2 linked regions of the Cricetulus griseus genome follow. The protein of the gene in region 2 interacts with the protein of the main gene of each other region in a pairwise test. Links are inferred from orthologs where the notes say so. Each region holds a gene or a part of one and is shown on either strand. Other genes may lie near its edges.

What was found. The genes of interacting proteins can lie anywhere in the genome.
Region 1: the proteins of Kcna3 (region 2) and Cav1 come close enough for resonance energy transfer, tested with the Homo sapiens proteins (2 studies listed by BioGRID). The link is inferred for Cricetulus griseus from reciprocal best matches to the Homo sapiens genes KCNA3 and CAV1.

What each region holds. Positions count from the first base shown.
Region 1 is NW_023276806.1:209,233,760-209,238,098, forward strand, and holds the start of Cav1 (caveolin-1), read right to left. Parts: upstream 2,817-4,339; 5' UTR 2,708-2,816; coding exon 2,678-2,707; intron 2,162-2,677; exon of another isoform or gene 2,031-2,161; intron 1,286-2,030; coding exon 1,121-1,285; intron 1-1,120. UniProt on the Homo sapiens protein: May act as a scaffolding protein within caveolar membranes. Forms a stable heterooligomeric complex with CAV2 that targets to lipid rafts and drives caveolae formation. Mediates the recruitment of CAVIN proteins (CAVIN1/2/3/4) to the caveolae.
Region 2 is NW_023276806.1:50,098,085-50,101,462, reverse strand, and holds Kcna3 (potassium voltage-gated channel subfamily A member 3), read left to right. Parts: upstream 1-1,190; 5' UTR 1,191-1,290; coding exon 1,291-2,877; downstream 2,878-3,378.

The DNA of each region.
Region 1 (4,339 bases), about 160 Mb from region 2:
ACCAGCAAAACAAGAGAGTGAATTTTCACAGGTACACTTTCCCTCCAGTTGTAGATTAAACCATTTCCCTTTCTAAAATATATTATTCATAAAGGTGAAACTGCACTGGAGCTCCTCCCATCCATAGATAGGAGTCTGTGGGTGGAAACTCCATGAGCTCCTCAGTGGTGCCTGCATTAGCGGCTGGGCAGGACAGGGGCTTCCTTCCCACTGGAACCCCGAGGCCAGGATTTTCCTTGGCCCTCCAGGCCACTCAGAGGAAATCCTCTGCCAAGGACAGCTCAAGTCCAGTATTTCTCAACCCACACGGACTCAGACAATAAATTCCTTGAGCTAGAATTGCTAAAAGGGTCAAAGTTGAATAACAAAATGATAATGAAAATCAGACCACTGTGTCAAGTCTACATTCGGCCAACAACCCAGGAAAGTAATGTATTTTAAACCCCAGCAAGTATATCCTCAAAGTGTAAAATGGAACGCCAACCTGAATGTTCTGCTAGCCCAGGGCAGGCTGACCTTGGCTGTCACCACAGATGCATCTTTCCACATCTAACTAGAGGGATCCAGAAGTTAAGAGGTGGAAATTATTTTCAGTTTGGTAAATTGGCTTAGCCTTGTACATGTGCTGTGTTTTTATAGTTAAAACCCTATTCATATATATGTATATTATATATATGCAATTGCATACAAAATATATACATATAAGATAGTTTTAAGCATTTCCACTCATTTATTATTTTTAATCTAATCACTTTAGATTGCTTTAGCTGAAGGAATATGCTTATACTGTATTCTGACCTTCACCGTGGTGCACACTATTATTTACCTGTCACTGGACTATTAACCTGGCAATGGACCACAGTCATCTTCTTTTCCCAAGTAATGTGGGGGCCCACCTGTGGCTGAGGTTCTGTGAACTCCCACAAGGCTCACTTTAGCTAAATTTCTGTTCAACTAGCTAGTAGGAGGAGGCAAGGCAGATGAGACCTTTCTGACAAGGGACCAGGGGTTCACATACAGCCAAGCCTAGGAAACAGTGCCAGTGTGACAAAGCTATGAAAGGACGCCCAATTACTTGAGAGAGAAGGGTTGTGGGACCCAGACAGCCACCATGGCTTACCTTGACCACGTCATCGTTGAGATGCTTGGGGTCCCGGTTGACCAGGTCAATCTCCTTGGTGTGCGCGTCGTACACTTGCTTCTCATTCACCTCGTCTGCCATGGCCTTGTTGTTGGGCTTGTAGATGTTGCCCTGTTCCCGGATGGGAACGGTGTAGAGATGTCCCTGTGAAGGCAGCCGGCCAAGCCAGGGGAGGATGGCAAAGGCAGTGGGAAAAAAGTTCAGAAAGAAAAACAAGCGTCAGAAGTCAGCCTGTTGTCGGGGGAGCCTGGAGCTCCAAGTCTCGGCTAACTTCAACCCTGAAGGCTTTGCGCACAGAAAACTCCAGTGCCGCAAGCTTTTTAAGAGGACGGAGGGAAGGACACCACACCCCTCGGTACCAGGCAGGGAGCGCCTGCCTCCCTCGCCGGCCGCCAGGGGTCAGGGCGAAGCCCCATGCTCGCCCTCCTGCTCCCTGCAGCTCCTGGCAGCGACTCCCCAGCCCAGGGGGTTCGCGTTCCTCCTGCTCTGTACCCCTTCTCTCCTCCAGGCCACCCGCGTCCCCAGAGCCTCACCTGCTCCACTGACCCGTCCTGACCCTGTTAATCCTGTTCCCGATCCCTTCCACCGTTATCTTTAAGATCCCACTGGACCATACAGACAGGGGCTGGTCCCATCTTCTCTGTCTCTCCCTGCGTCTTCCTCCGCACCTGCCGCGTCCCCTACCCTTTAGCTCCTTTTGCTTCACGGCTTTCCCTAGGCCGTGGGGGTGGATGAGGTGCGTGGATAGCTATCATACTTTCATCTCTGAGCCGAGGCATATGCCCGACCCCTCAAAATGTTCTGGAAGACATCTCACCTGAAGGACTCCCTGACCCACCCTTACTTAGATCACCCCCAGGCTGTCTGCCCGAGGCTGAACGGTAGTCACCTTTGGGAACCGAGGTCTCCACCTTTATGCTATCTGAGTGCCAAGAAGTAGTTGCCAATGGTGGTGGTACTTGTTGAGGAAGGAGGGTCCCCCACCTCGGAACCCCCCATCCCGGCCGCCGCCCAGGGGCAGAAATTATAGAAGTGCTCTAGAACTTTGCTCAAAGTGCAACACGCGCGCGCCACCGCCCAGGCCAGCCACTTTAGGCTCCTGATGGGGACTGTCCTTAGAACTGTGGCCAAATGACGCCACCCCAACACACACACACACACACACACACACACACACACACACACACACACTGCACCAGCTCTCAGCCTCCCAGTAAGTAGGGGCTTGTCCGGGGTGGGGGGGGTCTTAACGGTGCCATCTGAAAAACTTTTCTAAGTCCGGCCGACTACCAACGCGGCACCCCGACCCTCCTTTGCCCGGTGGGCTCCATTGGTCGCCTCTCCAAAAGGAAGCCTTAAAACACCCCTGGCTTTTCTTCAGCTCCCCACCCAGGTCCATTCCTCAGCGGTGCCAGCACGAGGGGAGTGCTGTGAAGGTGGAGAGAGGGCTGGGGCCAGGAAAGCAGCCCGAGCATTTGGAGTGGGAGATAGCAAAAGCAGGCACTTTAGAGCCGGCGCGCCCTCACCCAAGCCTACCTCGGAGTCTACGTATTTGCCCCCAGACATGCTGGCGCGTGGCTGGCTGCAGGCTCTGAGGAGGTTTCCCTGGGCTGTGATTTAAGAGAACTGAGGAAGGAAGATCTTGTATTGTATAGGGGGGAAAAGGCGCTGGCGCGGGGGCGGGGGGGCGGTGGCTGGGAGGGAGCCTCTTGGCTGTCCGCCAGTGGTTTGTTCTTCTCTCAGTTGGCTGGGACGTGCTCTGCGCCGGGTCTAGGCACATCCCCAAGGTTCTGGCAACAGAGGGCGGGGAGCGCCCGCGGGGAGCTGAGAGCCTGTGAGAAAGCCTTCATCAGCGCTAGGCTGTTTGGGCAGATATTTTAGACCCGGGGCAACGTTTTCCCAGCTATAAACCAACAGAGAGGCATCCCTGGGAGAGCGAATGTTTTCCCAGTGCATCATCTCAGCAGGGGTGGAGGGAGCATAAGAGTCTGCAAAGATGCCCAGTATGGGCATCCGGCGCGGCAGGAGGAATTCTGCCCTGTCCTAAGCTGCTTCCCAACTTCGCCCACATTCCATTATCTCCCAGGACTGGGCTGTCTCTGACTGGGAACCCGAAGGAGCACTTTACATATAAACACAAGGAAGGAATCTGTGTGGGTGCCGGTAAAGTCATTATCAATCTCTACAAAAAAGAAAATGAAATTTCTATCAACAGGTTGTGCCGTAATCATAAGTACTTTGAACATTTTCAACTGTAGAAAATTTTAGTTAGAGGTTCAGGTTCGTTACCAGAGTGGGTTTTTCTTGCTGGCTTGAGATCAAATCCGGGCATTGGGCATTCTGCCTGGAGGTAAACACTCTACTACTAAACTACATCCTCAGTTCTAAAGGACGCCTGCCCAGAAAGATATGCTTAACTGTGAGAGGAGATGGGTTTTGACAAAATGACTAGACTTTTTTTTAAGTTAACAACTAATAGATCAGTTTCAAAATCTGCCAACCTCCTGTATTTTATTGTAAAGAAAAATCAAACAGACGATAGTTGCTTCTTGCTAAAGAATTGAGTAACTAACACAAGGCAGCAGGTATGAAATTCACACGCCATAAACTGAGAAGGATGTTTTTTACCTAAGCATCCATACACAAACCCTTGCATAGCACACTGGAAAGGGCAGAAGATAAATTTAAAAAATGGCTACCAGGAGGCAGGAACATGGGATCGGGGGAAGATGAAGAGGAAACACGTGTCTGAGGATAGAGAATGACACCCCAAAACACCTGATCATCTGGCTGGAAAGAAGACATGGAAAGAGCAATGACATCAGCAGATTGGGCCCTTGCTGATGGGGACAAAAGGCAATCCAGTTTTTGAATTAACTATTTTGACTAGCATGTGATGACCATATGCTAATGATGTGATATTTCAATGCTTGCATGTATTATACTGATCAAATAAGGGTGATTAGTCATACGTTGTAAAAATAAAAGGATCAATTTTAACTAGGGACAGCAAGTGTGATAAACATCACTTATGCTAGCTATTATTCACCATGAGATTAAAGATCTTCCAAAAGGCAAATTTCCTTGGTTTTATGTCTGCTAAATTACCTTTTCTAAAGTCTTTCATCAACCTGTGTGCCAACGCGCATGATAGACCACCAGAAAAAGGATGCTCTTTGATTCCAAGTATCCTGCATT
Region 2 (3,378 bases):
AAATCAAGCAAGAGGGGAACAATGAAGGCTTTTCCACATTAGCAGCTAAAGCAAGTCCCACCACAAGGGCAGGTGGCATTGTATTAAATAAAATCTAGGTTCCAGCCTGCTCATGTCTGTCCCACAGCAGACAAATAATTGAGTTATCTAACCACACAGATGAGGTGTGATGGATTTTCTTTAACATTCCCCTTCTTATTTTCCTACTGAAAGTAAATTGGACTTTTAAACTCAGGCTGCCCTCGCTAATCCCAACCAGGAACTTAGTCCTGATTCTGTCCAGGGTGAACCAGCCTTTACAAAAGTGAAGTCTCTGAATGCCTTTAAGGACCCTTTCTTTAGACCCCTGTGAAGACTTCAGACCCTATGTACCCATTAATTCAGTTGGGCTTCCTGTCCAAACACAATCCTTTACAGCACCTAAACACGGGGTTCTAGCAATCTTCTACCCTCCAAAATCGGGATGCTGGCCCCAGACTCACCTCTTGCCCACGCTAACCTCTTAGCCTTCGCTCTCTCCTCCCACAACATTCTGGGTCAGGAGCCCTGGCACCTCCTGGCCCTCCTTCCACCTTTGTCTGCTCCCTACTCTCCTGGAACTTGCCCTTCCTCCTGCCCAGGCAAAGTGTGAAGGGCCAGGAGGCCTGAATCCGAGGGCCGAGGTGTGGTCCTTGAACAGATCCAACAACCCTGAGATTGGGACTCGGCCACGCGCGGGAAGGGAATGCACGCTGTCCAAAAGCAAGTGCAGCCCAGGAATGAGGAGGCCAAGCCCAAGCAGCTGGGTTTTTCCAGGGCCGGTCTGGCCGGGTAGCGAGAGGTTCAGGAGGGTCTGGGGAAGAGGGTGCAAATTGGAAGAGATCCAGTGACAAAGAACCGCAAGGAGCGCGGCCGGGAAGCGGGAGGCGGGGCGCGTGCGCGGTGGGCGGGAAACCCGGGGGCGGCGGCGAGGCGGGCGCGCGCCCCGCGGGGAGGGGTGCGGAGGAGGGAGGAGGCGTCTGGACCGTGCAGCCCCGCGCGCCGAGCCAGCTCCAGACAGAGCATCGCTGCAGCCGCCGCAGCAACAGGCGGCGGGCCGGGCTCGCGGGGCGGAGGCGGCGGTGGGGCGGGGAGCTCGAGGAGGAGCGACTCGGGGCCGGCCACCTCCTGCAAGGAAGAAGAGCACCGCCGCCTCCCGCGCTCGGCCACCGCAGCCCTCCACCCGCCACCGCGCCCACCCTGCGCAGGACCCCGCGAGCGGCGGGCGCGCGCACCCTGCAGAGCCCCGGCCGCGCCGAGCTGCCGCCAGACATGACCGTGGTGCCCGGGGACCACCTGCTGGAGCCAGAGGCGGCGGGTGGCGGCGGTGGGGACCCGCCTCAGGGAGGCTGTGGTGGTGGTGGTGGTGGCGGTGGCTGCGACCGCTACGAGCCGCTGCCGCCCGCGTTGCCCGCCGCGGGCGAGCAGGACTGCTGCGGGGAGCGCGTGGTCATCAACATCTCGGGGCTGCGCTTTGAGACGCAGCTCAAGACCCTCTGCCAGTTCCCAGAGACGCTGCTGGGCGACCCCAAGCGGCGCATGCGGTACTTCGACCCGCTCCGCAATGAGTACTTCTTCGACCGCAACCGACCCAGCTTCGACGCCATCCTCTACTACTACCAGTCCGGGGGCCGCATCCGCCGGCCGGTCAATGTGCCCATCGACATCTTCTCCGAGGAGATCCGCTTCTACCAGCTGGGCGAGGAAGCCATGGAGAAGTTCCGTGAGGACGAGGGCTTCCTGCGGGAGGAGGAGCGGCCCCTGCCCCGCAGAGACTTCCAGCGCCAGGTGTGGCTGCTCTTCGAATACCCCGAGAGCTCGGGGCCGGCCCGGGGCATTGCCATCGTGTCGGTGCTGGTCATCCTCATCTCCATTGTCATCTTCTGCCTGGAGACCCTGCCCGAGTTCCGCGACGAGAAAGACTACCCCGCCTCCCCGTCGCAGGAAGTGTTCGAGGCCACCAGCAACAGCACGTCGGGGGCCGCCTCTGGAGCCTCCAGCTTTTCGGACCCCTTCTTCGTGGTGGAAACCCTGTGCATCATCTGGTTCTCCTTTGAGCTGCTAGTGCGGTTCTTCGCTTGCCCCAGTAAAGCCACCTTCTCCAGAAATATCATGAACCTCATAGACATTGTGGCCATCATTCCTTATTTCATCACTCTGGGCACTGAGCTGGCTGAGCGACAGGGTAATGGGCAGCAGGCAATGTCTTTGGCCATCCTGAGGGTCATCCGCTTAGTAAGGGTCTTCCGCATCTTCAAGCTCTCCCGCCACTCCAAGGGGCTGCAGATCCTGGGGCAGACACTGAAGGCTTCCATGCGAGAGCTGGGGCTGCTCATCTTCTTCCTCTTTATAGGAGTCATCCTTTTCTCCAGTGCAGTCTACTTTGCTGAGGCAGACGACCCTTCTTCGGGTTTTAACAGTATCCCGGATGCCTTCTGGTGGGCAGTGGTAACCATGACAACTGTGGGTTACGGTGATATGCACCCAGTGACCATAGGAGGCAAGATTGTGGGCTCTCTTTGCGCCATCGCAGGTGTCTTGACCATTGCACTGCCAGTTCCTGTAATTGTTTCCAACTTCAATTACTTCTACCACCGGGAGACAGAAGGGGAAGAGCAAGCCCAGTACATGCACGTGGGAAGTTGCCAGCACCTCTCCTCTTCAGCTGAGGAGCTCCGAAAAGCCCGGAGTAACTCCACCCTGAGTAAGTCGGAGTATATGGTGATCGAAGAGGGGGGTATGAACCACAGCGCTTTCCCCCAGACCCCTTTCAAAACGGGCAACTCCACTGCCACTTGCACCACGAACAATAATCCCAACTCCTGTGTCAACATTAAAAAGATATTCACTGATGTCTAATATACGATTCAGTTGACAAACTATGCCCAGTATTATGTGGAACGTGCCCCCTTGGTCTGTGTGTGCCCTTGATTTATACATTTCCAGACCATTCATCAAGGAACGGACGTGAAGAGGTGGAAAAGCACACTTCATCCTCCCTCTCCCTATTGCTTCATACTGTGTTTAAACAGGTGCCTGTTCTGCAAGTGGGCTGCATTCTCTCAGCTCTCTCTCTCTCTCTCTCTCTCTCTCTCTCTCTCTCTCTCTCTCTCTCATTCTCTCTCTTTCTCTGTGTGTGTCTCTCTCTGTCTCTCTTCTCTCTCTCTCTCTCTCTCTCTCTCTCTCTTCTCTCTCTCTCTCTCTCTCTCTCTCTCTCTCTCTCTCTCTCTGTCTCTCTCTCTCTCTCTCTCTCTCTCTCTCTCTCTCTCTCTCTCTCTCTCTCTCTCTCTCTCTCTCTCTCTCTCTCCTCTCTCTCTTTCCCCCGTCTTTTAATTTTGTAACCAACAAGCTTACATTAAA